4 linked regions of the Tamandua tetradactyla genome follow. The protein of the gene in region 4 purifies or fractionates together with the protein of the main gene of each other region. This does not show direct contact. Links are inferred from orthologs where the notes say so. Each region holds a gene or a part of one and is shown on either strand. Other genes may lie near its edges.

Region 1 (7,825 bases), on a different chromosome or scaffold from region 4:
GGTATGGGGGAAAACTGCTATTGCATTCTATGAGCTATGTTCAAAAGGAAACCATCAGCACTACCACAGCAACAGCAGAGGTAAATAATGGGGTGAGAGACAAGAGTTAAGAAGAGGTTTAGATTCCCTATTTGGGGAGGGTGTGTTTATTGGTTTTAGGTCTCTTCGCAACAAAGAAATCATCTAAAATTGAAAATGCTGATGGACTGTGGACTTTGGGCCCTCTACGTGATGCCTGATGAATGCAGGTGGCTGAAGGATGCACTGACATAGAAATAGATTGGTGAACTATATACACTTATGAAAGCGTATATACTTCAAACTATACTTATGAAAGAAGGTTGTGCTGCTACGAAAAGGAACAATGTCGTGAGGCATGCAACAAAGTGAATGAACATGTGGGACATTTGGTGATACAAAATAAGCCAGAAACAAAAAAACAACAATGGTATGGTCTCCTTGAGAAAATGCTCATAAGAAAACAGGGGCCTAGATTGTAAGCTTTTAGAACAGACACATTAAGTCCAGAGTGGTGATTATTATTTCTGGACTTTGAGAGGCTGTTTTATATATATATAACCTGATATTTAAGATAAGAACAAAGCTGAACAGGTTGGGGTTAAAGCAATTCAGAATATAGGGGTAAGGAAGACAGTGTTTATATTTTAGAACCACAGATATTCTTTGAGATCAACAGAAGGTTTATTTGATTTGGAACTGAAATTTTCTGTAGCGCAAATCTAATTCAACCTATCTGTATAGCTCATTTGAACAACTGAAAGACAGGAAGCACAGAATAAGAAAGAGTTCCTTTAATCCTGTATAGATTACTGTAAGGCCTGGAAACATCCTAGAATTAAAAAGTATTGGCAAAGTCCCCTGAGGGAAGGGAGAAAGACTATGGAACTATTAAACCTTACCATCAGGGAATCCCCTGATACTATGTCAAACTTTACGGACACCCATATCAATAGGCCATGCCCTCAATCATGGGGCTTGCTATTGTGAAGCTTATGTAGGTAGCATAAAAGCTTAGACTACCTACAGGCATGCCTAAGAGTTACTTCTGGAGGACATCTGTTGTTGCTCAGATGTGGTCTCAGTCTCTCTAAGCCCAACTCTGCAAGTGAAATCATTGCCCACCCCCTACATGGGACATGACATCCAGGGGGGAAAGTCTCCCTGGTGACGTAGGAAAGGACTCCCAAGGATGAATCCAGACTTGGCACCGTGGGATCAATAATTACATCCTGAGCAAAAGGGGGAAAAGAAGTGTAATTAATAAAGTATCAGTGGAAGAGAAAGTTCAAATAGAGTTGAGAGGCTACTCTGGAGGTTGCACTTAAACAAGCTTCAGGTAGACCTTGCTACCTAGCATAACCTGCCAACCCCCAACCAGGACCATTCCAGCCAATCCTAAAGAACACCTACAGCAATATATAAGATTCCACAAGGGTTCCAGACAGTAGAGTACCTTTCCAGAACCCTATGACCTCCAGATAGGTCTCTAGTCCAGATAAGTCCTGAAACCTAGCCCAGCCTCTCCAGAACATCAGATAGCTCCATCTCCCTACCCCATATTAGTGACAGACCCTTTCAATATGAAAAATTAAGAATTGCCATAGCCCAAACAACCCCAAAGAGAGGTATGGAAAGATCAAAGGTGATGGTAGAATTATACATAGAAGATAGGACTTAACAAATGAATATGAATGCTGAATCATTAAATTGATATCCCTTTTAGTCTCCAGTATTTTAGAGCAGCTAGAAGTAAAAACCTAAAATTGTGAAATTGTAAACCATGTCAAACTCTGAAATATGTTCTACAACTAATTGTGGTGCTGTGCTTTGAAATTTATAACTTTTTTGTATATTTGTTATTGCTCACAAAAAAAAGGAAGAAAATTGATTGTGATGATAAAAAAGTATTCAAGCCCTCTAGCCGTCTATGTTTTGGAACAGCTAGAAGGAAAAATTGAGAGATCGTATTTTAGCCCATGACAAACTCTGGGGTCTGTCCTATAACTACTTGTTGAAGAGTGCTTTGAAAACTACTGCATTTTTATTTCTTTGCTTTGTATATGTTATACTATACAATAAAAAAAGTTAAAAAAAAGATGCAAGATCCATTTACATACAGTAAACTTTACATTCTTTATCATAAAAGGAATGTGTTTTGTAAGACTGTGGTGAACATTTTTTGTAGCACCAAAAGGATAAAAGTAGCTCTGCTTTCTTAAACTAGTAATTAATTTAGCTTCATTTATTTTTCTATGAATCTTTAACTCACTGGACACAGATTACATCAACTCTGTACTATGATTGAGTAGATTAGCAGTCAAAGTTAAAAATGCCTATACAAAATATTCTTTACAAGTTAAACAAAAACAATCTGTCAGATTTAGTGCAAGCCCTAAGTGTATTTCTCAGACATAGCTAAATGGGATCTAGACCCCACTATAGATTGAATTACCCAAGTTGTGCTACCAAGAAAACATTTTTCCTAGTGTAAAGAAGGAGGCTGGCTGTTAAGAGACACTTTCTTCCCAATTCTGAGCCAGGTCAGTTTCTGGTCATGCTATGCAGGTCTCTGTTTAATGGCTCTGTTCATAGCACGTGCTGTGCTATCACAGTTCTAAAGTTAATCACTTGCACTTAATTTCAAGTCATTTTTTATGTTGGAAACTGTAAACGCCTCGTTGGGGACAGTACATACAACGCGTGCCAACCCTCTGGTTTCAAAGTTCAGCTGTTTTTGAGTTATTTGACTGGACGAAAGGTCATAAGATATCTTTTGCAGCAGGGAAAGTGTAATTTTCCATGTCTTTATGGTGTTTTTGAAATTGTTGAAGTGATTTTTCTCTAAAAATTTCCATAAATAAATAATTTTACTGGTGGTGGAAATTTAATTTTGAGATGCTTGGCAAAAATTTTTAAAGTAACCTCCTCTCCCCCCACAAAATAGTCTCCAGACCCATCCTCAGTATGAGCCCTGTGGTCAGTTGGGGAAACTGAAGGAGACCCCACAGTTAAAATTCAGAACTTTCAGATTTGGACTACAAGTATGGAAAGTTTTCTCTCAATTTCTGAGATTACAATAAAAATCCTCAACTCTCAATTTAGTATTGAGTAATAATACTAAATCTCAATTTAGTATCAGATATGTAACAGCATCCAGTTGGGAGAATAGATCTAGTCTCTGAGCTCACCCTTCTCTCTACAAAATTATGTAATGCACTACAGGAATTTGATTGTGTTTCACCTCACCTCTACACACACCTTACCGCAGATTTTACTTTTCCACAACTCTCTGGCTTTCTTTGCCACATATATGGATATGTCTGGCCTCCCACCTTAGGAGGACTATGTATGTCTTCCAAATTTGCCAGGGCAACCCAGCATGCAACCTTCACTTCTTGCAGGACCAACCTCTGTGGACCAACCACCAAGGACACACCAGTGCCTGTTTGTGTGTGTCCTTTACTCAAAGCTGTGAAGTGTGGACCCTCCAGGTGTTAGACTTACCTCCCCCAAGGAAGAAGAGCATGTAGCCATACGACAAGAGTGGGAGCAGGTACACCTGTTGCTTTTATCCCTGACTTTTCCTCCCTCTTCCACTGATCCACCTGCTCACAGGACTAGTCCCCTCGTTTGACCCTAAACAAATGTTTGGCCTTTTTGTGGGGAAGAGGGAAGTAGAGGTGTCAATTCAGCACCTTTCATATGCTAGCCTGCCCTTCAACGGGCTATCAAGTGCGTACCTCTGGGTCATCTCCTGGATTATCTGGTAATTAACAACCCCTAGGACTGTTCTTTCTTCGGATGCAGAGCTTTTATTTTATTTGCATCTTCTTTGGAATTGTGCAAGTATGTTCATCATCATTTTTCTGCCCAGTTGATCTTCTGTACTGTTAACTACCTTCCAGAATGTTTGGCAAATGAGCACTTCCACCTTCCACTCCACAACCCTGCTGCATCCCTAATTCCTGGTGGTCCTCCTCTTCTCTTCAGGGAAACCGCAAAAATGCCTGGTCCCTGTCCTTTCATTCTTGACTGATCCTGCGGTCCAGCAGTCCCTTCTCCCATTTCCAAAGCTTCCCCCCGTGCATCAGTCTCCTCCACCGATCTCGCCTCTCCTTACTTAGGGTAGTCTGTCGAGTTGTCCCCTCCGCCGCCGTTCAAGTCTCCAGCCCGTCCACCCCACACCCTGGCCGGTCCCAAGTGTCTGTGGGTCAATTTCCAGTTACACCCGCCCGGCTCTTCGGCCTCGAGTGGCTGGACGTGGGTCCGTCCCGCACCCGTCCGTCTCCCACTTTCCTCCAATTCGGACACTGGTGGCCGGAACTTTCCTCCAGTCGGGTGGGTAAGGGCGGTGAGTGCGGAGCCGGGGAGGCGGCCGGCGGGCGCCAGGGGCTGCGCGGCGAGGGGTCCGGCGCGGTGGGCGCGTGAGCCCGCCGGGGGTGTCGCGGGCCGCCCTGCCCTATAAGGGGCCGAGCCGCCTCCGCCGCCGGGCGGGTGCCGGGCGGACCGCGGCGGCGGCTGCGATTGGCTCAGGCGCCCCATCCGGGGACTGGGCTCAGCGCTGCTCGTTCGCCCTAAAGGTACCAATATGGCGGAGGTGAGCAGGGAAACCGGGCAGGAGCGGCCGGGCTGGAGCGGGCGTCCGGCGGCCCCCGGCGGCTCCCCGCGACCCCAGAGCCGATCCGAGGGTTCTGGTGCGCTACCCGCAGCCTCACGGGGGCCGGCTGAGTGGGGCGGGAGCTACGGGGCGGGGGCGGGCCGCGGCGGGGCCGGCCGGGGGGCGGGAGCGGGCGCGGGAGCGGTCTCCCTCCGGGACTAGGCCGCGGCAGCTCCAGCCCCGGCCAGACTAAGCGACGGGGCCGAGTGGGGGGCACGGACGGCGGCAGCGAGCCCTGGCCCGGGGACGGCGCCATACCGGCTCCCAGGCCGCTGACGCGGGCCGCCGGCACCTCCGCGCTGCCTCCCGGGTCCAGGGTGGGTGGAAACCGACGGAGCCCGGCTCCCTCTTTCCCGGGCCGATTGCAAAGCCGGGAGCTGGCTGCGTCTTGTCCCCGCGGGAAGAGTGCGCTGCGCCCCCGGCCCGCCGGGCCCGGGTTGCGGCGTGAAGGGCCCTCACGCTCCACTTTGCTTCGGGCGCGGAGGCAAGCGGGATGCGCGGCCGCCCTGCTCTGCGGGAGGTGAGCGGGACACCCCGCCCCGCAGCCAGGGAGGTGCAAGAGCCCCCGGGAGTGAGGGGGACAAACCGAGACTCTTTTGCCTTCTCCCGGAGGACGGGTCGGTAGCCCCACTTTCCTTCGAGCTGGAAGGGGAGGCAGGAGAGAAGCTGCCCCGGCCATCTCCCGTGGGACAAGTGAGATGGGGGAGGGGGTGGCGCAGCAGAAGCCCCTTAGTGGGCGCCGGCCCGGCCGAGGGGCGCGCCGGCGGGCCCGGCAAGGGGCTGCACGCCCTGGGGGAAAAACAGTTTGCCAGGGACCTTGGGGCTGCATCTCTGGACTCGGGGAGAGAATGAGGGGCGCGCGCTTTGGTTTGGGGGCCAATGTCGGTCTGCTAAGCCTTACTGCGCTTTGGGGCAGAAGACAGTCCCGGAGTTAGGGGTCCCGGGCCCCAGGGGGCGAACTCAGTGCTCGGAGGGCGAGTCCCTTTAAGGGAAGGGTTTTGCGTTGTGTGGAGTTGGTTTGGGGTGCTGGGAGCCTGGTGGGATTTTGGGGACTCCCCAGATGCCAAGGTGAGAGACCGATGCTGCGATCCGACGGCGCTAGGTTTTGCTTCTTTACTTTGTAACTTCCTGTGCTCCAAAAGGAGGCTTGGAGTTGCTTGTTAGACTCTAGCCTTGGTCCCGGGTCTGCGAGTTTGTACGCTGGGGACTCGGGGAGGAAGGCGAGGCAGCCAAGAGGGGGCCCGAAAGGGGCCGGGAGCATTTGGAGTGAAGCTACGTCTTGCACTTTTGGCAGCTGCGGAGGAGCGCCGGGCTCCGCCTTCTTTGAGCCCTGTTGCCGGCATTGCTTCTTCCCGGGCTGCGCGATCTAACCGCACGTTTTCTTCTCTTTCCTAGGCTTCTTTTGGAAGTTCGAGCCCAGGTTTGTTCTATTTTCTTACCTCTTTGGTGGGTCCCAGCAGGAACCCTCTATATTGGGGGCTCAAAGATTTGTCGTTAAAGGTTTCTCCACAAAAATTTATCCCGCGATTTGTTTTTAAGAGTTTGACTGTGCATTTAGTAGTTAAGTTATTCGAGGAACGAGCAGTTTTATTGTTCTTTTTTTTCCTTGCATGTTTGAAAAATACCTCGTTACAAAGCAGGTAACAAATAACTGCCCTGTTAAATTATGTCTTTAATTCTCACGTATCTTTTTCTCCAAGCCTGAAACAGTTAATCCCCAATCAACTTTCCATTAACTTGAGCAGTTTAGTTTAGATTTTAATTTTGATTTCTTAGAGAGACTGACTCTTTAATAATCAAGAGATGGAAACTTTTAATAGATTAACCACAATTCCCCTTTCCCCTTTATTGCGTCTCTTTTTAAACAGCCAATTGAGAGTTAAGTAAAGCTACCTTATTCAAAAGAAACAGAACTTTCAAGTTTGCACAGAAAAGTGATGATACGGTTTTTGAACTGAGAGTCTTAGATCATCTACAACAGTGTTTGTTTCTTAGTCTTTTGGAAGTCACGGACCCCTGTCAGAATCTGATGAAAGCAAGGGATTCACTCCCCAGAACACTCTACATGTGCATAATTGTGCACATTTGAGGCTTGTTGAACCCCCTGAAGTTGGTCCATAGTAAAGACCTTTCTGCGTGTGGTAAGGACAGCTTTGTTCTAGTTTCTTATACCTGTCCAGTCTCCATTTTGACTGCCTCTTTTCTTTCTCATAATCTGCAGGAAAAAGTATTTCTGAAGTAGTTTAACTCCCTTATTTTATTGTCTAGGAGACAGACTTTTAAATGACTCTGCTGAGAATCCCCCAGTTAATGGCAGAGCCTGGACTATCTCCCAAGTCTTCCATTACAATACGGTGCCTTCCATTTCCCTGGAATACTGCTTTTTGTGTTTAGTAGGCTTTCAAGGCCTCACTTGATTATTATTTAAAGTATTATAAAATAATTAACACCAAGTTGAAGAAATTTGTGGCTATTATAAAAATAGCTATGTCTTTTTGTTTTTTTAATTGTTTTTAAAGTTTCTCTAATTTTGAGATAAACATTTCTTTGTCATTACTGATTTCAGGAAAAGAATATTTATCTAACCATTGCCAAACATCTGGATGATAATGGAATTTTTCCATTTTGCATCATTTTCTGCTGTTAAGTTGTGATCTAAATAAAAAGAAAGAAAAAAGGCAATGCGGTTTTGGTATCTAAACCAAGCTTTATAACCTGTTTTTAATCAATTAGCTGATTTTTTAAAGCATTTTAGAGCTAGAAGGGACTCTTGAGGGTCATTTAAATTAACCCTCTGTATTTTACAATTGAAGAACTGGACCTAGTCCCAGAAAGTTTAAATGACTTACACTGGTCCCACAGACAGTCAGGGACAAAACCAGTAGCCCTCAGGCCCTCCAATTTCTGCCCCTTATTGAATATCTTCCATATGAAGGGGGTGGCCTGCTGTGCCAAGTGATATGAGGATAACAAAAAAATATAACACAGATTGTCCCCAAGTTGGTGGAAAGTCACCGTCTGTTTTGTTACAGACACTTTAACATGCCACAAAGGTTTCCAGTAATTCCTAAAAAAAAAAAAAGTAATTTGTAATGATACATGGTCTGCTTTGAAGTATTTAATAAATAAATAATTTTCTCTTAAAAA
Region 2 (8,028 bases), on a different chromosome or scaffold from region 4:
AAGCATTAAATTCAATTTATATGGTTACAAGTCAAAGAGAAAATAGCTGTCTGATCGCTTAACCATCAAGCAAAATTCCATCCCTGGTCCCTTAAGCAGACCACAGGGTAGGAATTCATTTTCCTATAAAAATGCTATAGTGAAAAATTATTTGAAAGCTGCAAAGCAATTCCAAAAGAACTGACAGACTAGTTTTAAGCATATTCAGGTTCCACCCAACTGAAAATCACTTTTAAGACCATAACAAGATTGTTTTCGTTCTTTTTTGAAATACATTATAAAAAAAGATATATGAACCAGTCCTCAATTACGTAGAAAATTGTTTTTAAAGTCAATTAAGACTTATGAAAAACTTACTTTTCATCCTTTTCTACATCATGACACACATCCACAATCTGAAGAATATTGTGGTTTGCACTCAGTTCTAGTGCACCAATGTTTATATGGATATAGTCTTTTAGGAAATCTTCAGCAAGCTGTCTTACTTCTTTTGGCCAAGTCGCACTCCACATTAGGGTTTGCCTATCAGGCTTAACAAATGTGGGTTAAAAAAATTAGTATCGTAACTTTTTCAAAAAGTTAAATTTGAAATGATAACATATTTAACAACACTTATAATGATATAGCTTTTCAAATGACTATGTGATTGTGAAAACCTTTGATGTTCCTTTTATCTACAGTATGAACAAATGAGTAAAAAACGTATGAAAAAATAAATAGGGGGGAACAAATGTTAAAATGAATAGATAGAAATGTCAATGAGAGGGAGGAGTAAGAGGTATGGTATGTGAGTTTTTTCTTTTTCTGGAGTGATGCAAATGTTCTAAAGAAATTATCATGGTGATGAATACACAACTATGTGATGATACTGTGAGCCACTGATTTGTACACCAAGTATGAAATGTTCGTTATGTTAAAAATGTTTGTTTTTATATGTTCTTAGGTGAATTAAAAAAAAAAACACTTACTCTTATCTGATCCACTATCTTCCTTATTTGGGGTTCGAAGCCCATATCAAGCATCCTATCTGCTTCATCAAGGACAAGGTAGGTGGTTCTTCTCAGATTGGTTTTCCCACATTCTAAAAAGTCGATCAGTCTTCCAGGTGTTGCAATACAGATTTCCACACCTTCAGTGAAACATAAAATGTAACCACCAAACACGTAACTTTTAGCACCAGTAACAACAAGCTTTTCTATTACATACCTCTCTCCAAATCACGTATTTGTGGTCCCTTGGGAGCACCGCCATAGATGCAAGTAGACTTTAAGCGACACGCTCTACAGTATTCAGCAGCTACTTGCTGCACTTGTTGGGCCAGTTCTCGAGTTGGTGCCAGCACCAAGCACTAAGGAAAGAAACAGCTTTCAGCATAAGACCTAGATCCCTAGTCTTAAACTGCTAATTTATAAGCCTTACACTAGCAGACATGATTTCTTTCTTCCAAATGTGCAATTTCCCAAAATGTGACAATTGTGAGATTACTATTCTCTCTACATATAAAACCACAGAAATTATCCTATCTTTGCAACTCAGTTACATTTCTAACCAAATTAATGGACTATATACTTACAATAGGCCCATCACCTCTCTCCAGGAATGGCTGATGATTGATGTGGACAATGGCAGGAAGCAAATACTATGTGGGAGGAGGATGAAGAAAAACAGTTACATTTAAATATTCTTTGTTCCCCCTTTTATTCTGAATCCACTTTATCTAGCATATTTTAGAGAACACTCCAAAGTGTTCCCAAACTTACAGACAGTGTTTTCCCAGATCCAGTCTGTGCTACTCCAACCATATCCAATCCACTTAGAGCAACTGGCCATCCCTGAGCTTGAATAGCAGTGGGCTCAGTAAAGTTCTGTCTTGCAATCACATCCATGACATTTGCTGTAACCAAAGGTAGCAAATTTAGTAAAAATGTTACACCAAGAGAAAGTAAAGATGACAAATTCAAAACTAACACTTACCAGGGAAGTTTGCTTCATAAAAGTTCAGAACTGGTTTTGGGCAGTTGTGACCTCTGACTGTAACTTCCTTGCTTCTTCTGTATGCCTCTACCTCTTGCTGAAAGACACGTAATTAGTGTACTCGAGTAAGACTCAGCATAACCTCTCCCCTAAATATATAACTGTAAGCCCCTAAATTTATAAACTACTTTTAGTGGCCTTGATTTTCAACCTAGATCCACATGAAAACCTACAAAGCACAAGAATACATATTTTATCAAATAACCATTCTAACTAGAAAATTCAAAGCAACCTGTTCCCAGAAATGGTTCACACCTCTTTCCTAAGCTGGAAGCCAGAAAGTATGAATCTCCCTAGATTTGCAAGACACTTGTGTCAGATTCTGACTTATTGTAAGTCAGAATTATATCCTAATAACGAAGCCAAATGAAATCACTCACCGCTGTGCGCCTAGCCAAATCAGGGTGTTCTTGATAAAAATTCTTCTCAAATTTTGGCAGCTCATCAAGATTCCACTTCTTTTTAACTAGTTTCTCCCCAGGGTTTCCAAACTTTTTTCCAGATAGGGGCCCTGCCCTACTTCCTCCAAATCGAGGCGCACCAAACCTGAAAAGAAAAAGTTTGTAATCAAACATTTGTATTTTTATGCAAGTTTACCATTCCATGGCACACACTAAGGATTATTCAACTTTATTCAAAGCACCTGTGTGTCATACAAAACCCATTACTGCCCTTAATGATAGTCACTCAACAGTCAGTTAGTTAACCCTAAATCTTATTTCTTGTCGTCCCCTGTACACCTCATTAAAGCCAGGAACAGTAAGCAAACCATAATTTATGAATAAAATCGGAAATTGGATGCTCAAATTCCACAAATACAGATTACTAAGATAGCAATCTAGGATAGACAACAGCTTGTGGTTAAAATCTTTCCCACAACCTTAAAAACGAAATCTCCATTTCGGAGATAAACGATAGAAGAGGAGCCTTATTTCTACAGCTGTTTCCAAGCAAACGGGCTTTGGCTTTAAGAATGGATGACGCAACAGCATCGAGAGCAGAACAAGGGGCTCCGGGACATAGCAAACAAACGGAGTTGGGGGGCATCCCGCGGAAGAGCTCTCAATCAAGGTAAGAAAATTACATAACCCAAGAATAAGGAGAAGGAGGAGCCGGCAACTACCGGGGGAGGAGCCCGGCCCGGGCGGAGTCGGCCAGGCGGCGTTCCCGCTGGGGCGGCGCTTCCCCCTTTGTCTCGCATTTCTCTCTGCGCCACATTTTCTCGACGCTGCCATTTTGAGCTCCTCCGCCGGGCGGGGTAACAAAGGCGCCGCCGCCATGTCCGAGGCCGGCATTTTGTACCAGCGGCACAGCCACATGGCTGAATCCAGCAGCGCCGGCCACCCTCCTGTCGCCACCGCCTCGATGGCTTCGGAAACGGCCCCCTCGCTCCCACTGAATTTCCGGATCCCCTCAAACACCTCCCGAATTGTTGAACTAATGACGGCGGATACTTAGTCCGCCTCAAAGCGTCGCGCTTTCCTCCCTTCACAACACAGTCCCCCGAATGCTCATGACAGGCGGAAAATGGCGGAGGTCCGGGAGCCCCCTCCTCCCCTCAAAAAGTGGACCTGAGAACTGTTGACACGCAAATCCCTCATAATCAGATTTGGGTAAATGTCAAAAGGTGCGCAAAGTTAGGAGTGGGGCGGCCCAAAGTTACGCTAGGCAGGGCAAGGTTCCACCCCGCATACCTTGGCCGCTACCCTCCTTGTCCTCCCTTCCCCCACCCGCGGGCCTGACAGGTCGGTCCCACACTCACCCTCGATCCCGGCCGCGGTCTCGGTCACTCGAATAACCCGACATGGCGTCAATGGTTGCGGTTGGTGGGGAACGAACTGGAGAGAATCGGGTGTGGGGAATCGCTGGGGTAGGCTTCCGCGACGGCGAAGCCTTGCGGGGGCGGCGGCGGCAGAGAGAAGTCGATGACAAGACCCAGAGCTGCACAACAAACACCGGGGGAAATGAATGAGGTACCGGCCGCCTCCCGGCAGCCGGTTTTATAGTCTGGACCGCCTCCGCCACCGCAAAGGACACTGGGAACCGCTCTGTGACCTAGTCGCCCCGCCCCCTGCGCAGAGGCCGCAACGCCCGCGGCGTTCCGGAATCCGCCATATTCTCACCCTTCCCCTTCCACTCCCCCCTCCCCCCCACTCCGGGATCCCTTCCTTGTAGCCGCCGGTTTTTTCGTTCCTTTCACGTCCGGGCCCACCAAACGCTGGGGGTCCGCATCCTACACTCTCTTGAGTTCCCCTTTTTCTCGTCTTTACATATCTTAAGCAATCCACCCCACCCTTTTTCAGGTCCAGCCTAGAGATAAGGCGGCCAGGTCAGGCCAATCCGCTCTCCCCACTTGTAGATGTTTACGTCCCCAGAGAGCCTCCACGCCCTTAACCAATGGACGGAAAGGCGGAGTCTGATATTGTCACGTGGCTGCTCCCCGCCCACCGGCTGAGCCGACGGCACTACTTTCCAACGGGCGTCAGCGGAGGGATACAAAACGAACTACTTCCGGAAATGCCGTTCTAATTCCCCAGGGCACCGGCCAAGACCCGTGGGCGATCTGGCCTGTCGGTTCCACTCACTTAAGAATCCCTCAACTGGACCTCGCTGACGGAGAGTGGAATCTAGATCCTGCAAACCGCCGCCTAGGCTCGTGATGCGAAAGGAAGTGCTCCTCTAATGACCAATCAGCGGCGAGAAGCCGTTCTAACGTCCCTCCCTCATTCACCTCTTCTTTTCCGCACTTTCCTTTCGTTCTCCCTCCCTCGATATCTGTGTGTGCGCTGTGTGACCCTCTCAGGACACTGTCCCCGCGCACTTGGCTGCAAGTCCTGCGACTCCCTTCCTCCGCGACATGGCTGGCTCGGAGGCTGGTGAGTCTCGGCCAGGACTTTTGCTTTATGTGGACTGAAGCCACCCAACTACCCGAACGCCCTGTCCATTTTATCTGGAGGGCAGGGGCCGGGGTGAATCTTGGTCTGGGCTGAAAAGCGGAGCTCCTGACTGTTAGACACCCCCTGGCAGTCCGCGGTCCTTTGAATAGGGTCTCCTAGACTAGTTCCGTCACCGTTTAGAGTAGCGGTCTGAGGTGGAGGAGGGCATGGTCTGTGGCGAGGCCGGTAACACACCCGTATCCAGGTTACGAAAGAGCAGTCAGAAAGGATCTTCCCCGAATCTGTATTTCTCTTGAGTGTCTTTTCACTGCCAGTGTGCTTTGCGCTCTTGCATTGTGGAGACTAAGGCATTTGAATTGAACTTTGGAGGAATAGCACTCTTAAGTGCTGTTGATGCCCCGCCAAAGCTAGAATAATGTTTTGTTTTTTCTCTTCACTGCCCTCTGGAGAGAGTTAACGGCTTTGTCTAGCATCGGCTTCTGAAACGCATATTGCTTTGGTTGTTTAGGACGCGTTCATCCTTTTCTCCAGGACAGCGTACAAACCACTCCCAATAATGCGCGTTTGTTTCCAGAACATGCTAGAGATATATCTAATGAGGAGTAAAAGTGCTTTCCAGTTAATCGCCTGTCATTTCAGGCAACAAGAGTTTCAAGCCTTCTAAGTGGTCGAGAAACACTTGAGCTATTTTATTAATGCCAGCAGTATCTGGGAGGAGCGGTACAGCATGCAGGGAGCTACAGTATTGGTAATGTGCTGGTTCGAGGTTAGGTCGTGGATACAGGAATGTTCTTATGTATTGCCCATATTTTCTTTCGGATACGTTAAATCTGATAACCCAAAGCAGTAGTGGTGGTGTTATCATTACTCCAATCTTTAACAGTCTAAATTAATCACTACTATTTGGGCACCGGAGAAATCCTGACTTGCGCAAAATAATTGAGCCAAAAACACGTCCAGAACTGTTGGGAATTTGAAGGCACATCCATTAATTACTTTCGTTAACAGACCGTCTTGTTTTTGCCGTATCCCGTTTACTTGTTAATGTGTGTTAACTTAAACACCTATTATAAAATAAAATCCACTGATAAATAACCTAAGGTCTTAGGTTGCAGCAGCGAAAGTTGTGTTTGCATCGTAGTGTTGATTACATTGAAATTACAGCTCTCTGGAAGCCATCATAAGAAATTGCTTTTCAAAAGTCTCGTCTAGTAGGGTCTTTGAAGTTCTTTAACAAATTTCATGTCTTCTAAGGAATTCAGTGTTTGTATTGCTGGGGATTTGTTAGGTTTTTTTTTAATGTATGTGTATTTGACTTTTTCTAGTACTCGAGGCTGATCTTTTCCTTTCCTTTCCCAACAGAGTGGATAACTATTGCAAATAATCTCCTTTCAAAATGTCATATACATCTGAGGATACATGAACTTGAAGATTGTGATGCCGAAGTTTTTATTGCTCTTTATCAATCAATCTTGGGAGAAAGGGTACCAGGTAAGGGTACTAAAAAGCAGGAGTAATTGTGTCTATATCTTCAACTAGAAGTTTCTCATCCCTTTAATTAGATCCTTTGTTTAAAACCTTGTATTTTCTCTTTAGCTACATCTTATTTCTATCTAAATATTGCATTTATCACCTTAATAAATACCTTATGGGACCCACCCATAATAACAACCTTGATTAAATCAGTTGGTTCTCAGTAATCACTCGTTAATCAAATTTCGCCTAATGCCATATGAAAGTCATACCCTTTCTGCAGATGTACCTTCAAAGATTCTAAAATTGAGTAGAGCTCAGAAATTTGTTGGGTCTTTTTACTTAAACATTATTAGAGATGAAAATTGTTGTTTGTACTTTATTAACCTACTTTACCAAGGAGACCGTTAATAAATTCATATGTCCTATCATCTTGTAAGTTGTGACTTGCTCATTTCTTTCGGGGTACCATGTGATTTTTGCTGTATCCCAGGTTGAATATCTCATAGTTTATCCATAGATTCCTCAACTACCTCTGTCTCTTTATGTAGTTTATAACCATTAAGTACTATAAGATCTGAAGTCTCTCTTTCCCATTGTTACAATGAACCAGTACCCTTACTCAGTTCCTGAATTGATGTAATAGCCTGTAGTGGGTGCCTTTGATACTAGTCTCATCCAATTGAGACTCTCTAATTATGTTTGGCATATAGTTATTAGATCAATCTTTTAAAATAATTTATCCTGCCCCAAAACATAGATCTTCTTTTTTCCAGAGGAGAAAATCCAAACTTAACTTGATAGTAAAACCTTTCCATGCTCTTGAGCTGACTTTTTAAACCTTTGTTCCGTAATTCTCGATAGGCTGCTATAGCAGGACATGTAAGAGTCCTTCATTCATACTACTGTTTTTTTTTTTTTTCCTAGTGGTACCCTGGGAAAGTAGCCCACAGTTACAGGTTAAAGTCTCGCCTCATGTCTTACCTTTTTTCTTCCTTTAATAGAATATGAGCATCTCCTTGAATTTAGGAACCCCTCTATCTTCCATTAGCATGGTGCTTGTTGTACGGTATGTATGTATGTATGTATGTATGTCAGTTGAATAGATGAAGATTCTCCTGTGTGGTAATCAGGCTGTGACTTTATCTGGATTTTATACAGTTCTTCTCTTTGGGCACAACCTACTTTTATAGCAGTTGGGTTTATTAAGAAATCTAGTCAGAGATGAATAGATAAAAATTCGGACCCTCATGGAAGCAAAATTATGTCACTTTTTTCCAGATGTCATAGCTATTCCCAAGAGTCAAGAGGATGATGCGCATAATGTGCAAGCAGTGATTGATTCACTGGCCTTGGATTACCTGCAGGTCAGCTTATCTCACATAACAGGTTGGTATATACTAACCATCAGATGATTATGCATTTCATTAAAATAATTTGTTTGATAGGCCCCTAGACATTGTTTACTGAACCAAATGAATAAGCATATGGAATACGCTAAACAGCACCACTGAACTAAGTCAAATGGTATCATTCAGTCAACCATACATGTGAGATTTTATAGGACAGTGAGATACTGAATTTATAATGAAGCTGCATCTGAAATGTAGGTATCCTAGCTGGT
Region 3 (7,534 bases), on a different chromosome or scaffold from region 4:
GCCTTAATTTGGACATTTTTATAGACTTGCTTAAATTAGGACATTTTCTTGGCCTTAGAATTGTAAACTAGCAACTTATTAAATTCCCCTTTTTAAAGCCCGTCCCATTCTGGTGTATTGCATTCCAGCAGCTTGCAAACTAGAACACTTTATAGTCTGAAGTGATGCAAATGTTTTAAAAACGATCAAGGTGATGAATACACAACTATGTGATTATATTGTGAGCCATTGATTGTACGCCATGTATGGACTGTACATTTGTGAATATTTGTCAATAAAAATACTTAAAAACTAGTGATTCAGCAATCATAACTCATTTGTTAAATCCTCTATTCTGTTACACCTCCTCCTTCTTTTCTGATTCTTCTCCCAATCTATAGGGATCTTTGGACAAGACCCGTTTTAACTTTTTCATGTTCAGAAAGGGGTCGACACTAAAAATAGGGGACTCTAATTAATTGGTTATCTTGGACCGGCTAGTCCCTCTGGGTTTCAGGATTTATCTGACCTAAGAACCCTCCTGGAGTTATAGGTTCCAGGAAAGCAAACTTAGTGCATGAAACTTTTATAGAGTCTCAGTCTGAGCGTAGTTGTTTTTAAGAGTCAACAGGAGTGATGTTGGTTGGGGGTTAGCAAACCATGGCAATTAGCACTATGTAACTAAAGCTTGCATAAGAGCAACCTCCAGAATAGCATCTTGACTCCATTTGATCTCTCTTGGCTACATGTTTCTTTTATAAAGATAATAGTTACCAACATTATTGAGAACCTGCTATATGTCAGGCAAAGGTCACATCTCACTTAATCTCAATAGCATCCCTATGAGTTATTATTTTTTTACTCTTTAACTTTTAGTTTTGAAGTTATTTCAAACTTACAAGACAGATGCGAAATTAACACAAAACCCACACAGAGAACTCCAACACCTAGATACTCAGATCCACCAATTTTCAACATTTCTTCTACATTTGCTGTATCACTCAGCATATCAGTCCATTTATCTACCCATTTATCTATTTTTTAAACCTTTGAAAGCAGGTTGTATATATCAGCTCCTTGAACACTTAATACTCCCACATATATTGCCTAAGAATAAGGAGATTCACTTATGTAACCACCTTAAGTACAATGATCAATTTCAAGGAATTTGACATTGAGATAAAACTTATAAGTATATTCCAATTTTTTCATATGTCTCAGTAATGTCCTTTTGGGCCTTTACTCCTCCATTATTAGACCTCATTCAGGATTATTTACTTGTCATTGTTTCCTTAGTTGTTTTTTTGTACCTGTATGGTAGCATATATACCACATAAACTTTCCCATCTCAACCACTCCCAAGCATACTATTCAGTGGGATTAATCACATTCATAATGTTGCACTCCCTTCATACCATCCATTTCCAGAATTTTCCCATCGCCCCAAACAGAAATCCCTCGCCCATCAGGTATCAACTCCCTATTCCCCCTCTCCCCACCCCGCCCCTGGTAACCTGTACTCTACTTTCGGTCTCTATGAATTTGCAAGTTTTGTTAGCTATTTCATATGCGTGGAATCATCCAATATCTGTCCATTTGTGTCTGACTTATTTCACTTGACATGATGCCTTCAAAGTTCTTCCATGTTTTTGCATGCATCAGAACTTCATTCCTATTTTAAGGCTAATACTCCATTGTATGTATATACCATATTTTGCTTATTCATTCATCTGTTGATGGACATTTGGATTGCTTCTACCTTTTGGCTATTGTGACTCGTGCTGCTATGAACATTGGTGTACAAATATCTGTCTGAATTCCTGCTTTCTGTTCTTTCAAGTAAATTTCCAGAAGTGGGACTGTCGGGTCATATGGTAGCCGTATGCTTAAGTTTTTGAGGAATTGCCAAGGTGTTTTCCACTGGTGCTGCACCATTGTACATTCCCACTAACAATGAACCAATACATCCTCGTCAGCACTTTATTACTTTCCACTTAAAAAAAAAAAATAGTCCCTTTATGGATATGAGGCCTATGGGTATTATTATCCCCACTTTATGTTTGTGGACAACTAACATTCAGAATAGTCCCATAAGTACTGAATCACAGAATCAGTATTTGGACCCTTATCTTTCTGACTGAAAAAGGAAGTCTCTTTCTATTATGCACACTGGCTCCTTAGAAAACAAATTATTGAAAGCCTATCATGTGCCTGGCACATTATTTCTAATCCTTCCAAACTTCCTTCCTACTTTACCCTGCAAAGTAGGTATTAATATCCTCATTTTAAAATGTTAATATTTCTCCTGATTATAAGAGCAATATGTGTTAGTAGACAAATTTAGAAAATAAAGAGAAGCAATGCAAGAAACTATTTTTTAAACTCATATATATTCCAACCACACATAATTACTCTAAAAATGTTGATGTATTTCTTTCCAGTCATTTCGTATGCATACGTGGTAAAAATAGATTTTTTTCTATAAAATTAGGATATTTTAACTCCTTTTTGACATTTAATATTCTATGAGTATTTTTGCATGTAATTGGTTTTTCAAAATGTGGTTGTTAATGATGACATACATTGCATGACAGTAACTAAATTGATTTAACCTAGTGCCTATTATTGGACACTTAAGACTGTTTCCTCACCTCTGTTTAAGGATGAGAAAAGTAAACCCCAGTGACTTGACAAGTCACTTGTCCCAAGTTATCTGGCTAGAAAGCAGGCTGAGTTGAGATTAGAATTTTGGTCTAGCTGACTCTAGAACTCAAGCACTTTATACACCACACCAGCTCTAGAAATAATAATACACCATTAACTGCCCTTCCATTTTCTCCTCTCAACTTGAAAGCTAGTGACAAAGCACTCTCCACAACCAGAACAGCAAAGGATCCAAGCATGAGGAACACAGATAATACAAAAGAACTAGGTGGCCCAACTGAGATGGAACAAACTGAAAAACAACAGGGAGGCACAAGGACATAGAAATAAGCAGAAGGTGGGAGATGGGTACACAGAACACTGATTGAGATAAGGAGAAAGCTGCAGTTGTGAAATTTAAAAGGAAAAAAAAAGCTTTTGCTTTTGTCTTTATATGTATATAGGAAAGAGCAAAGATAACCTCAAGGCCATGTGAGGAACTGGGAGGGATAAGGTTTCTGGAAAAGCGGATGAGTAAAGGGAGGATAAAACTTGGGAGGACTATAAGGCTAGGAGAGGCTTAGGGTGGGAAGGAGAAAAGTCCCGAGGGCAAAGAGTCAGGCTACAGTATTCAATACCAGCCACCAAGCCTACAAGTTCTGTGGCTGAACTCCCTTCCAGCAGGAGCCTCCTCCAATATCTCAGCTATTAAATACCCCTTAAGAGCTGGGGAGGAAAGGTGAGAAGCAGGGATTGTAAAGTGCTCTAACTATAATGAGGACTGAGAAAGGATCCTTGCACACTTGTTTAAAGCCCTGGCCTAAGGCTAGTGCCCCCTCCCCCCATCCCACCTCTCTAGCCTCAACCTCAGCCACACCCACATGTTAAGGACCATCCAGGAGGGGGGAGCGTGTGTGTGTGAGTGCGTGTGTATTTACACGCATGCAAGCTCGTGCATAGAAGAGACAGAGACGGAGACAAAAAGAGACCGGGGAGAGAGAGAGAGAAAGAGCGCGCGCGAGGAAGAGAGAGAGCAAAAAGAGACAGACAAGGACAGAAAGAGAGAGGGAGAAAGAGTGGAAGCAAAAGACAGACAGACGGGAGACAGAAAGGGAGGGAGGAGGGCTATCGGCCCTGGTGAGAAAAACTATTCCAGAGATAATGCAGGGAGCTCTTGTAGGAGGACTCAGGAAGAAGATCCTAGAACTTACCCTAAGACCGCTGAGGGAGTGTGTGTGTGTGTGTGTAGGGGGGGGTGTCTTTGCAGGGCCTGGATTTGGGGGGCATCAGCAATAATGGTCACTGCATAGGCGTTGACACTGAGCCAGAGCCATTTAACCCGCCCGGGGTGGCTGGAGACCAAGCTTAAGACGCCTCAAAACTACGACCCTTCGACTGGTTAGGGGGGCCCGAGGCTGTAGACAAGGGGAGGAGGGGCACGTGAAGGCTGGGTCCCTGCCTCCCTCCACCCTCTGCTGTCACTCATTACCCCAACAGTCGCCCCGGGGGCAGGCCCCGGAGAGGTGGGGATGGGGGGAGGGTAAGCTTGGCAGGCGCCTGCTGCATGGCGTAGGTAGTGACTGTTGAGGGGGGGCGGATGCCGGAGGGTTGAACACGAGTGGGAAGAGAAGAGAGACACGGGGAGGGGGAGGGGACCGGGAACCATTTGAATGAGAGGAGGGGATCACGGGTAGAGTGGGCTCCAGGAGGTAGGGCGGGCACGGGTGTGACGGGGGCCAGACTCTTGGGCCAGGTAAGGGAAGCAGGTGCGTAGATCTGTGTTTTCTGTGGGTTAGTGTACTCGGCCCCTTGGTGAAAAGGGGGCGACGCCTTTCCCGGGGGCGGGCTTCAAAGCTCCAGAGGCTATCTTTTCCTGCTCAACTAACGGGGCCCCGGGCGGGGGCTCAAGCTCCATCTCCAACGACCAAACTCCACTCCGCAATTTCCAGGCGGCCACTGGGCTGGGAGTCTCGCGCCGGGGGCCGGCGCTGTCTCGCGAGCCCCCTCCTCGAGCCAGCCAATGGGGTTGGTTGCTGGCGCCGCCCGCCCGCCTGGTGCAGAGCGCTGGGCGCTGTGAGCGGCGCTGCCATTTAAAGGGGCCGCGACCCCTGTCCCGGCTGCTAGGGAGGGAGGTGGAGAAGGAGCGCGGGGCCATCGCTGTCTGCAGTTCTAGGCTTGTAGCGGTTACACTAACCCTGCCGCAGGTAGGGGTCGGGCCTGATCCAGCCGAACCGAACCTGCAGGCGGGAGCTCGCAGTAGCCGGGAGGGGGGTCTAAGGAGAGATCGTAGCTCCAAAATGTCTTCCTGTAAATGCCTGAGGTGGGGGGTGGGCAACAGGAGAAGGGAGGACTGGGGGAGCAATAGGAAAAGGGGACGGGGTTGAGGAAGTGGGCGACCCTGAAAGGTAATTGGGGGGGAGGGGTTAGGAAGGGCAGTTTGTGGGGGCGGGGGAAGGGCCAAGGGAGGACCATGCTACGCGGGGAGGGGGGGTGGGGCTAGACAGGGTGGGTAAAGACTGGGGAGCTGGGGGGGCTTTAAGGGGAATGGGAAGGAAATAGAAACTGAGATCGCGGGGGCGGGAAAGCCTCCGGGTGGCGAAGGCCCTAGGAGACTCTTAAGGCCGAGTTGGGGGGGGGGGTTGAAAGGTAAGGGGGGAGGGGAAGTGGGAGTTGCAGTCGGGGGTGGGGGTTGCAATCGGGCGGTTGAATGACCCACTGGCTTATTGAGTGTGGGCACAGGGCCAGGGCGGGGAACGCCTCTCCCCACAGGGGGCGCTGTATGGGGAGGGGGGGAGTGGTCTTTTGGACTAAAGCCTGTGGAAATGCTTTTTGGTTGTGGTGATGGGGGCTGTTCATGTGAAATCCAAGTGGATGTTGGGGTGTGTCTCAGAGCCTCCATGAGAAGGAATTCTGGCTAAGACCACCTCTACTTGCCTTCTGTTGTACCCCTGATCTCCAGCCCATATCCGGCCTTCCTCATGGACCCCAGTGATTTCCCCAGTCCATTTGACCCATTGACCCTGCCAGAGAAACCCCTGGCTGGAGACCTTCCAGTGGACATGGAATTTGGAGAAGATCTGCTGGAATCCCAGACTGCCCCGACTCGAGGATGGGTCCCCCCTGGCCCTTCTCCATCCTCTGGAGCCCTGGACCTGCTTGATACCCCTGCTGGTCTGGAAAAAGACCCTGGAGTCCTAGGTGGAGCCACTGAGCTGCTGGGGCTGGGGGGGCTGCTCTATAAAGCCCCCTCACCCCCAGAAGTGGACCATGGTCCTGAGGGGACCCTTGCGTGGGATGCAGGGGATCAGACCCTAGAGCCTGGACCAGGGGGCCAGACCCCTGAGGTGGTGCCACCTGACCCAGGGACTGGGGCAAACCCCTCTTCTCCCCAGGGGCTACTAGAGCCTTTGGCCCCAGATTCTCCAATAACCCTGCAGTCTCCCCATATTGAAGAGGAGGAGACCAGTTCCATTACTACAGGGAGAAGGGATCCCCCTGGGCAGGAGGAGGAGCTTCCCCGAGGGCAGCCACAGAGCCCCAATGGCCCCCCCAGTCCTTCAGTGGGAGAGACTCTGGGGGATGGAATCAACGGTTCTCAGACCAAACCTAGGGGCCCCAGCCCCCCTGCACACCCTTCCTTGCCAGGTAGGTTGCCTAATCAGATGATGAATTGAGGCTGGGCAGAGAGGGTGGGTGTAAGGAGGAGTGGCTCTGTGTTTGGGGGAAGAAGCAGGAGAGGAGGAGAATGGAGAGGGAAGAGTAGAGGTGTGGGAGGGGGTAAGAAGGCGGAGGTTTGGGAGGGAGGAGTGGGGATGTGGTGAAGAAGAGGAAGGAAAGTAGGGGTGAGGGGAAGCACAGGGGGTGTGGAGGGAGGGATAGGGGTGAGGTATCAGGGTGGTGGGTTGGGGGGAGTGGTTTTGATGGGAGATGTTCCCTTTTATTATTACTCAAATGGGCTTTTGGTGCCAGGATCCATCCCTCAGGATTTAGGGAAGAAAATAGGCTTCTTGGTTCTAAGATCTCTGCAACTGTTTTATTCTAAATGGGAGTGGGGTTTCTGGGTTTGATGAATGACAACTAGATTCTGGAGCCACCAAGAGCATAAAGATTTCAGGAGAATGGTAGAAATGTAGAGTGTGTCTCTGATGTGGGAGGGGCAGCCTGAACGTGAGAAGCTCCAGTTCCTCCCCTGTTTGGCCTAGTCCTGTTCCTCTCCCAGGCTGTGTGTGCCCAGGGTCCTAGGGCTTTTATATAACCAACCACCTGAGGCCAGAGGAACCTACCCATACATTTGTACTTCCTTTCCCCCTTGCTGCTGTTGGGTGGTTGCATTTGTCTTTGTTGGTAAAACAAATTCTGGATGAAAGGTGTGTTATCTGTGTTTCCTTAACTCCCAATGATTGAGGACAGAAAAGCTGATGGGAAGGGTAGGGGTGCTTTTTGTTTTCATAGAGAGTAGCTGCGCCCTGCCCCCTTAGTACAGAGCCCAAGGTAACCAGGGGAGGGGCCCCAAGAAGCCACAGACACTCGAGTTTTCCCTTTCAGTTTTGAGTAAGTTCTTTCCCTGAATTGGGAGGTGGGGGTTGGGGCAGGGTGGGGTGGGCAAGGGCAGGCTCAAGATTTAGGCTACCTTCTGCTTCCTTTGCAGGAGATGGCCTGACTGGGAAGGCGAGTGAGAAGCCGCCTGAGAGGGTGAGGGGGTGGGGGAGGGGAGGGGAAGGAGTCTGGTTATCCCTATAGCTCTGGGAAGGACAGGCCCTTCATTTTCCCTCCCAGATGTTGTTTTGTGGAGGGTGTGTGTGAGTGGAGTGAAGAGGAGGGTGGGAGCTGTTGTATCTCCTGCTTCTTCAGGAGAAAATCCAGCCTCCTTTTCTTTCTTCCTCTCAAGGGCTGGGCCAAGGGTCCCTACTCC
Region 4 (7,887 bases):
TGATTTAGATGGTGGGGATACAGAGACTTAAAAACACATGGGGAGAGAAACAAGTCGGGTGGTAAATGTTATAGGAAGAAAAATAAAGCAGTAATGCTAATTGAGTTTTACCTAGGGTAACTGGAGAAAGCCTCTCTGATAAGGTGAAATACGAAGGAACTAAGAGCAAAGTGGTCAGTGTTTTTCTTTGGTACTGTTTTCCAAACATTTTGATTATGCACTCCTGTCAGATGGAGTAGGCTGGTGGGGGAAATCGGGCAGAGCAATGTGTAAAATTACATAAATTATGTATATATGCAACCCTATTATATATATATCATAGAAGAGACGTTAAATATGCTTGGTCTCAAGCTTAATTCAAAACCAAGTATAGTCAATATTTCTAGATGAAGTATTAAAAGTGTATTGTAATTAAAGCAAACATAGCTTGATTTGCTAACAACATTTTTAACTATAAAAACCACATAATTTTAGGGAGGAATGAGTAATTAGCTATATCATTTTAAAGATTATTGATCTTAGAGTATGTAAGAAAAATAACGAAGACTTTAGAAATAGTTTTCAGAAACTTTGAAAGTATGTGTCAATAGATACAATAAAAGAAGTAAGATCTCTTACTTTTCTTCAAATGTTTAAAGATACTTCATCAATACCTAATGATTCGCTTGGAACTGGCATTCTAGTATTCTAAAGAGCATTCTACTGAAGAGCGCAAATATAGTGAGAAATGCATATAATTTTAGAGGCATCAGTCACACTGAGATGCAAACAACTGCAAAGGTAATTTCTTTGTCACTAAGAGCTTCATCATACAGCCTGCCCCATGTCCCCAGTAAGCCTAAATGTATGGTTACAGAATTTGCTAGTTCTCTCTTTCCCACTTTATTTTTCTTCCTTCCTTCTACTTCCTTTACCAACAAATTAGAACCAGAAAATTTAGACTTGGAGATTTCTTCAGGCCCTATTAGTACTGATACTACTTGACCCCCAATCCAATACATGCTGTATACCTCCAGTCATATAATTCTTTGGTACAGAAACTTTTATTTAATCCTCTTCCTCCACATTAAAAAAAAAAAAAAAAAAAAAGAACTGCTATTTGCTACCCTTATAAGAGTTATTTTGGGGGGTAATGAAGATGTAAGTTTTTGGAATTAAGGTGCAGACCTCAGCATACTATCACATATTCACAGTTTCACAGTTACATAATGGTATTTATCCAACTTTTAAACACCTCTACAAAATATTGTATTAGGCACATACACATAAACTCTAGAGGGAGGTGACCCCTCCATGAATATTTCAAATGTAAGCAATAAATAATTCCATTCTAAAGATGAAGAGTCAACTAAGAACCACAGACAAAAGACAAGTAACCCAACAGAATTCCAAATTATATAAGTTAAATTCGTGATTGTTGGCTGTCTGGTAAAGAAGTTTGAATGGTCTACAATAAAGTATTGATTAATTCACTAAATACCACAGGACTCTCAAATAGTCTCATTTTACCTATCAAGTCTGCATTCTGCCCCTGGGACCAGTGCCTGCCCCATTTCTTCAACAAAGGTTCATCATGGATGAGCCCAGGAACAAACAGCTGTTACAGACTCCTAGTTCCTATGTTAATTTTTGCAATGCCTTCACTCAAGAGCAACCTACTAGAAACTACTCCATTTAATATAATTTAGACCAGCACAGGAAATAGGATTCAAATTTAATGTTCGAACTTCAATTTAAGAACCCCTGAAATTATCTTTTACAATTCACTGTACTGTGAGGTTGCTCGTTCACCTGATGAGGATATTTGGTACTTCCGCACTGCTCCTCAAACTTTTCCTGCACCAGGAGTCCCACCTAGGAACGGGCTTCACAAGCAAGATGCAATGCTCTCCTATACCTCCAAAGGAAGGTCTATTTCCTGACCGAACAAAGAGCAACGAAGAAGTGGGTGGTAACCACCACCTCAGAGGCAAGTCAGGACCCATCGAATCTGATGCACCATACAAGCAACAACAGCTTCACATTTCTCTACAACCTCCTCTTATTTCTCGGGAAGACTAACTGCCTCGAACTCGAAAACCTTAATGTTTATCGAGCAAGTGCAGCTCTTTCATTCGTATCCTTAGAAAGTGGCGCCCAAACAACCCGTTAACAAAGAAGAGGGAAGGAGTCCACGCCGAACAAGGGTGGGAGAGTGCCACAGGCCGGACTTGGGCCCACAACCTCAGTAACTACTCTCAAGCCCCGACCCGGGTCGACAGGTCTCGGGAGTGGCCGGAGACGGAGAAACGAGACCCTCGGGCCAGACGTCGGCAGAGACCGAGAACAAGGAGGGAAGAGACGGCGGGACTGGGGGAGGGAAGGGGGCTGGGGGTGGAGCTCCCGCGGCCGCGGGGCTTTGTGTGGAGTCAGGGCCGGGGTGAGATTCTGACCCCGGGGAAGGGGTCGGGTGCAGAGGCCAGCGCAGGGCAACCTCAAACCCCCAGTCCCACGAGGACAGCCGACCCCTCGCCACCATCGACGAGCCGGGGTAGGCCGCGCCGCCCCAGGGGTTGGCCCCTCGGGGCGGCGGGCCGCACAGCCAGAGAAAGGGGGCAAGAGGGAAGCGGGGCGTCGACCCGCTCTCGCCAACGGTGCCGGGTCCGGAAAGGGTTAAAATGCGGCCAAGCGTCGGTTCCTCCTCCTTCCCACTCCCCAACACCAGCGCCCACTCGCGACGGTGGCCACCGACCCACGACCTCATCCGTGCCCGCCTACCCTCCCGCCGGCCCGACCTCTCACCATCGTAGTAGTAGCAGACTTTCTTCTTGCCGCCTCCCTGACTGTACGCCATGGGCTCCCCGGCCACCTCCGGGCTCCGGCTCCTCCTCCGGCTGCTGCTGCTGCTGCTGCTGCCGCCGCGGGCCGGCAGGGAGAGAGAAGGGCTGGGTTGAAGGCGGGGGTGGCAGTCCGGTGGGGAAGGGCAGGCCGAAGGGAGGAAAGAGGGGATGCCGGGAGGGGTCGGTACAGCCCCGCCAAGGGGCCGAGAGCGCGGAGCGGGGGTCCGCTGCAGCACCAACTCGCGACACTGGGGAGGGGGAGGGGGCGACCAAACCACCTACGGAGGCCTTGGGGAGGTGGGACGTGCCCACGATGGCCACCGCGGGGGGGGGAAGGGGCATGCCTACAGGAAAAGGCCGCTTCAGACTTAGGATAAAACTCCTTCTGATATTGAACAGCTTGCGGAAGGCGGCTCCAAGTACAGGCTCAAAACTAGAAAAAAGAGGCAAATTTTCCCTCTGCAAATAGGTAAAGGCAGGATCCTGGTGACAATCCCCCCCTCAGATCTTTGCACAGTGGTTGTGCCTGTCCCGAGCCTGCGCAGTCGATACCTTCCCAACCGTAGTCTTGGCGGTCTAGACCCGGTCCGCGTCGTCCCGCGCCGCTCCCCTCCCCCTCAGTCGCGAAGCTCCCGCGCGATTCGACCACGTGCCGCGAGCCGGAAGGGAGCGACCACCTTCGTGAGCTTTGGCTCCCATCCCCGCCCCCCACCGCCCCAGTACCTGCTCGTCTCGGTCTTCTCATTTATCCTTCCGTTTTTTGGTGACAATTTCAATGAAGTATTGAACTGCCCAGGGGGAACTATTACAAACGTTCAGGGGAAGACTACACTGCCTGGGGTTGAATAAGCATTTATAGGAGACATTTATGAATGAGTCATGGTTCTAAGCGTTTACATTTATAATATATTTCATTTACATCTATTAATAATAGATGCCTATTATCACATTTAAGATTCCCAGCAACGCTGGAGGTAAGTCCTTCTTCTTAGATGTGAGCAGATTAAGGAACTTGGTCCTCTCAAGTCCTAACTGATCGTCTGGAGATTTGAACTCAGTCTTTCTCCAAATTCTAGATGCCCCTGCCTAATTAGATTGCTTCTGCTGCTGGCTGGTCACTGGAAGATTGGAACAGAGAGTAAAAGAAGGGACTTTCAGAACTCCAGGAAGTGATAAATACCTGTGTCCCCGTGTTCATTGAATCAACACACACTTATCCAGCACCTATTCTAAGTGAGTTGCATTACATACAAATGGGGGGGGACAGGAGGGAAGATTGACCAGTCTTTCAGTGTAACGCTTATCTTAACGATATCATTGGCAATTTCCCCCACAGCGTACAGTCCCTTCCACACCCCCATCAAAAAGGAAGCCTTAACTGAAGTGGGGACCAGTTGGAGCCACTAGGAAAAACTTGACTTTTATTTTGCTTAGACTTTAAATTCCCAAGGTGTTCATACTTAAAGCAGCAATTTTCCTGGGCCTCACCTCCCACCCCCACCCCCAAGTGATTTAAAAAAGTCACTCCCTTTCTTGTATTTTTATCAAGCACCCCAGGTAACTAATGCAATTAATACAGAAACCACAGTGTGTGTAGCATTGGTTTAGAGGTAAAGTTAATTACATGATATTGGCTTCTAGGTTTTGCTCCATCAAATCCAAAATCAACTGGTGGATTCTGAGACCGGAATAGGTTAATTTAATAGATGTTAATGTTACTCCCCAGAGCCAAGCTAGTAAGGTCTAGAAATGAGACTTTACTTTCTTCAAGACTTCCCTGAGTTCCTTCTGGTCTTTTCTCTGTGCCCTTCACATACTCCTCTTGCACCCTATAGCCCCTCCAGCTCCCTGGCAGTATCCATGTTGCCTACAACTTGTCTGAATGTCCCATTAGAATAGAGCTCTATGTAGAGGGGGACCATGTCTACCTTGTCATAATTGTACCTCTAGTGCCTGTGTGACTTTGTGACTTGAATTGCTGAATTGCTTTATCTGTAAAATGGCATAGTATTACTTGCAGAGTGATTCCTAATACGAATAAATACTGAGAGGGTCAGAAAAGAAAATTACTATGGAAACTTTTTAAACAGTGAGGAACTATGTGGATACAAGGGATTACTATGATTACTACTGTTGTTGTTATTGTTTTCATCCAAAAAGCCTAGCCTTGACATTGTGAGAAGAGTCTGAACATGTGTTTTGATTGCTTGAGGAACTTGCTTTGTTATTTATTATATAATAGTTTTAGAACAGTAGAAGTAAATGATTTTGCCCTAAGATAGCAGCATTAGAAGAGTTGGATCTAGTGTTAAGAGCTGGCCATGAAAATTATGTCCCTGCACATCTAGAACAAACTTTAGGTCATTAAATCTAATCAGTTATTGAAACCCACTGATAAGCTCCAAACTTCATTCACCATATCCAAACTCATCTCTCTCAAAACCTTTTTATGAGTATTTAATTATCATCCTTATCCTTAAACTATATATATATATATATTTTAGTTCTTGCTGTAATTGAAGTTTTCAATCCTGAAGATGTTTAGTGCTTTGGAATTATTCAATAAAATGAACTGTTAAACATAAGTGGATGATTTAGAAATAGGACTGTTTGGAAATCGATTGCTTTAGCTTATGGTAAAAGTTGAACCCTACTACCAACGGCAGCAGATAGTTTAATTTTAGTTGCTATAAAATTATTCATATAAACTTGTTACTATCGTAAAGAAATGCATATTTCTTTGTGTTAAGTTCTGTGTTGCAATTTATAAAGTACTAGAAAAGGTAGAGGAGTATGGTACAGCTTCAGGCTGAATTCTGCTCTCCTTGGAAGCATAGTGCCTATTTTTATGTAGTACTGTAAGATGTAACTCATAAATCTGAAACAGCACCAAACAATGAAAACTTAAAGTGCTATGTGACCTGTTCGTTTATTTAACAACATTAAAAATGACCTATTAATAGAAAATATATTTTTGAACTACAAGTTATCTACTAAATTACTTAGGCCTATTAAATCTTTCAAATCATTCTATAGTTCATTGTTGATGAGTGGTTTGCCCATGATCTTCTAAACAGTATCCACCTATTGCACACTTTATTTAAATAAAATTCTACATGCACACTACGTTTGGTAGAATCTACTTGTTAGTGTCTCTGAATCACTCTATGTGTACATATCTTAGTTATTCCTCTTTGTTATCCCAGACTTAACGTTCTTTCGATCTGGTCCTCATTCTATTCCACCTATCACTAGAACTCTACAGATGAGTCTTTAAATGGGAAGCTTTGCTAAAGTCTGGCAAATTGGGGCTATAACCTGCTGCCCCCCATTTATTTCTCTGGCATCCCTTGCTGTCTCTGACTGCTCATTTTCTTTTCCTTCCTTAAATATTGCTCTCCAGAGTCCCGGACCCTCTTTTCCCACTGGAGCTTACTCTTTTGGTGCTGTCTAACCCACTCAGTGACTGTTCGCTGTTGACTGTGAGTCATAATTTCCAGCCTATACCTCTCTCTTATGCTTAGCTCACTGCATGTCTGAAGGTGGATGACTTGTGGTCATCCCAAAGTCAACGTGACCAAAACACAAAGCCATTATCTTCTGTCAGATCTCTTCTTCTTGGATTCGTTTTTCCGTTAATGGTAAAACCAAACATCCAAATGCCTGAAATACCTTCCTCATGATCTCTCATTCCCACGCTAATCCATCTAGCCCAGTCTAAATAGTTACCAAATCCTGTTCTTTCTCCTGAATCTGTCTTTGAGTTGCCTCTTCTTCATGTTTAGCAAGGTCTTTGTTCAAGCCCTCAGTATCTCCTTCTAAATAATTTCAGTAACTTTGTATTTGATCTCTGATTCATCTTTCCCACTTTCATGTAAATAACTTTCTGCGTCTAATCAATACTCCTGTATTTAAGGAAATCTTTCCAAGTGCATGTTTAACACCTGTAACCATACACTAGAAACTCCAGACACATCAACTGTGCCAGTTTGAGTCTGTTGTGTAGCCCAGAAAAGCATATCTTTTAATCCTCATTCATTATGGCTGGGTGGAGTCTTTTTGATTGTTTCCATGGAGGTATGACACATCCAATTGTGGTTGATAACTTTTGATTAGATGGTTTCCATGGATATGTGTCTCCACTGATTCAAAATGGGGTTGCTTACTGGAGCCCTTTAAGAAGGAACCATTTTGGAAAAAGCTTTAGAGATATAGAACCAACAGAGCCCACACAGCCAGAGACATTTGGAGATGAAGAAAGAAAATGCCCCCGGAAAAGCCTGGAGAGAAAACTAGCAGACATTGCCATCTGCCTTTCCAGTTGAGAGAGAAACCTCAAATATCATCAGCCTTCTTGAACCAAAGTATCTTTCCCTGGATGCCTTACTTTGAACATTCTTATAGCCTTGCCTTAATTTAGACATTTTCATGGTCTTGAAACTGTAAACTTGCAACTTGTTAAATTCCCCTTTTTAAAAGCTATCCTGTTTCTGGGATATTGCATTCTGGCAACTTGCAAACTAGAATGCCAACTAAGGACAATCCCAAAACAATTCATACTTTTTAGTTTCTTAGTACCTGCCATTCCCTCTATCTAGAATTTCTCTTCCCCTGTTGCCCTTTTCTGTCTGGGACCCCCCTTCACAATGCAAGACCTAACTTAAATGACACTTTGGATGTCTCACAGTGCCCTAATTTCTTCTGCTTATATGGATACCAGTCATATGGATTAGGTCCACTGTGATTCAATTTTGACTTCATCTTAAATAGATCTTCAAAGATCTATTCACAAATGAGTCCACAACTGATTAATAATATCATCTTTAAAAGTCTTATTTACAAATGGGTTTATATAAACAGTAATGCAAACTAAGACCTAAACATATCCTTATGGGGCACATGATTCAATCCTCAACAGTGATGGAGCCATGACAGACTTATTTTTATTGTGCCATGCAAACAATTAGTTTTGGCTATATAATGACCCAGCATTTCATTGATTAATAACATATGTGACAATCACTGCACAGTGCTTAACCAATAACCATTGTCTCCTTCAAACAACTTG

What was found.
Region 1: the proteins of HDAC2 (region 4) and MIER3 purify together in Homo sapiens (affinity purification with mass spectrometry; 3 studies listed by BioGRID and IntAct, with this or other methods). This does not show direct contact. The link is inferred for Tamandua tetradactyla from reciprocal best matches to the Homo sapiens genes HDAC2 and MIER3.
Region 2: the proteins of HDAC2 (region 4) and DDX5 purify together in Homo sapiens (affinity purification with western blotting; 3 studies listed by BioGRID, with this or other methods). This does not show direct contact. The link is inferred for Tamandua tetradactyla from reciprocal best matches to the Homo sapiens genes HDAC2 and DDX5.
Region 3: the proteins of HDAC2 (region 4) and ZMYM3 purify together in Homo sapiens (affinity purification with mass spectrometry; 6 studies listed by BioGRID and IntAct, with this or other methods). This does not show direct contact. The link is inferred for Tamandua tetradactyla from reciprocal best matches to the Homo sapiens genes HDAC2 and ZMYM3.

The regions. Positions count from the first base shown.
Region 1 is NC_135335.1:103,570,306-103,578,130, reverse strand, and holds the start of MIER3 (mesoderm induction early response protein 3), read left to right. Parts: upstream 1-4,594; 5' UTR 4,595-4,609; coding exon 4,610-4,618; intron 4,619-4,695; exon of another isoform or gene 4,696-4,715; intron 4,716-6,071; exon of another isoform or gene 6,072-6,073; coding exon 6,074-6,098; intron 6,099-6,546; exon of another isoform or gene 6,547-6,819; intron 6,820-7,825.
Region 2 is NC_135332.1:5,711,855-5,719,882, forward strand, and holds the start of DDX5 (putative ATP-dependent RNA helicase DDX5), read right to left. Parts: upstream 3,106-8,028; 5' UTR 3,082-3,105; coding exon 2,915-3,081; intron 2,581-2,914; coding exon 2,415-2,580; intron 2,072-2,414; coding exon 1,975-2,071; intron 1,895-1,974; coding exon 1,761-1,894; intron 1,640-1,760; coding exon 1,574-1,639; intron 1,349-1,573; coding exon 1,207-1,348; intron 1,130-1,206; coding exon 969-1,129; intron 531-968; coding exon 358-530; intron 1-357. Other genes in the region: CEP95 (centrosomal protein of 95 kDa), read left to right, coding at 4,892-4,910, 6,294-6,422, 7,686-7,793. UniProt on the Homo sapiens protein: Involved in the alternative regulation of pre-mRNA splicing; its RNA helicase activity is necessary for increasing tau exon 10 inclusion and occurs in a RBM4-dependent manner. Binds to the tau pre-mRNA in the stem-loop region downstream of exon 10.
Region 3 is NC_135353.1:100,364,597-100,372,130, forward strand, and holds the start of ZMYM3 (zinc finger MYM-type protein 3), read left to right. Parts: upstream 1-4,300; 5' UTR 4,301-4,375; intron 4,376-4,686; exon of another isoform or gene 4,687-4,826; intron 4,827-5,581; 5' UTR 5,582-5,600; coding exon 5,601-6,267; intron 6,268-7,270; coding exon 7,271-7,314; intron 7,315-7,534. UniProt on the Homo sapiens protein: Plays a role in the regulation of cell morphology and cytoskeletal organization.
Region 4 is NC_135331.1:172,998,351-173,006,237, forward strand, and holds the start of HDAC2 (histone deacetylase 2), read right to left. Parts: upstream 3,086-7,887; 5' UTR 2,834-3,085; coding exon 2,782-2,833; intron 1-2,781. UniProt on the Homo sapiens protein: Histone deacetylase that catalyzes the deacetylation of lysine residues on the N-terminal part of the core histones (H2A, H2B, H3 and H4).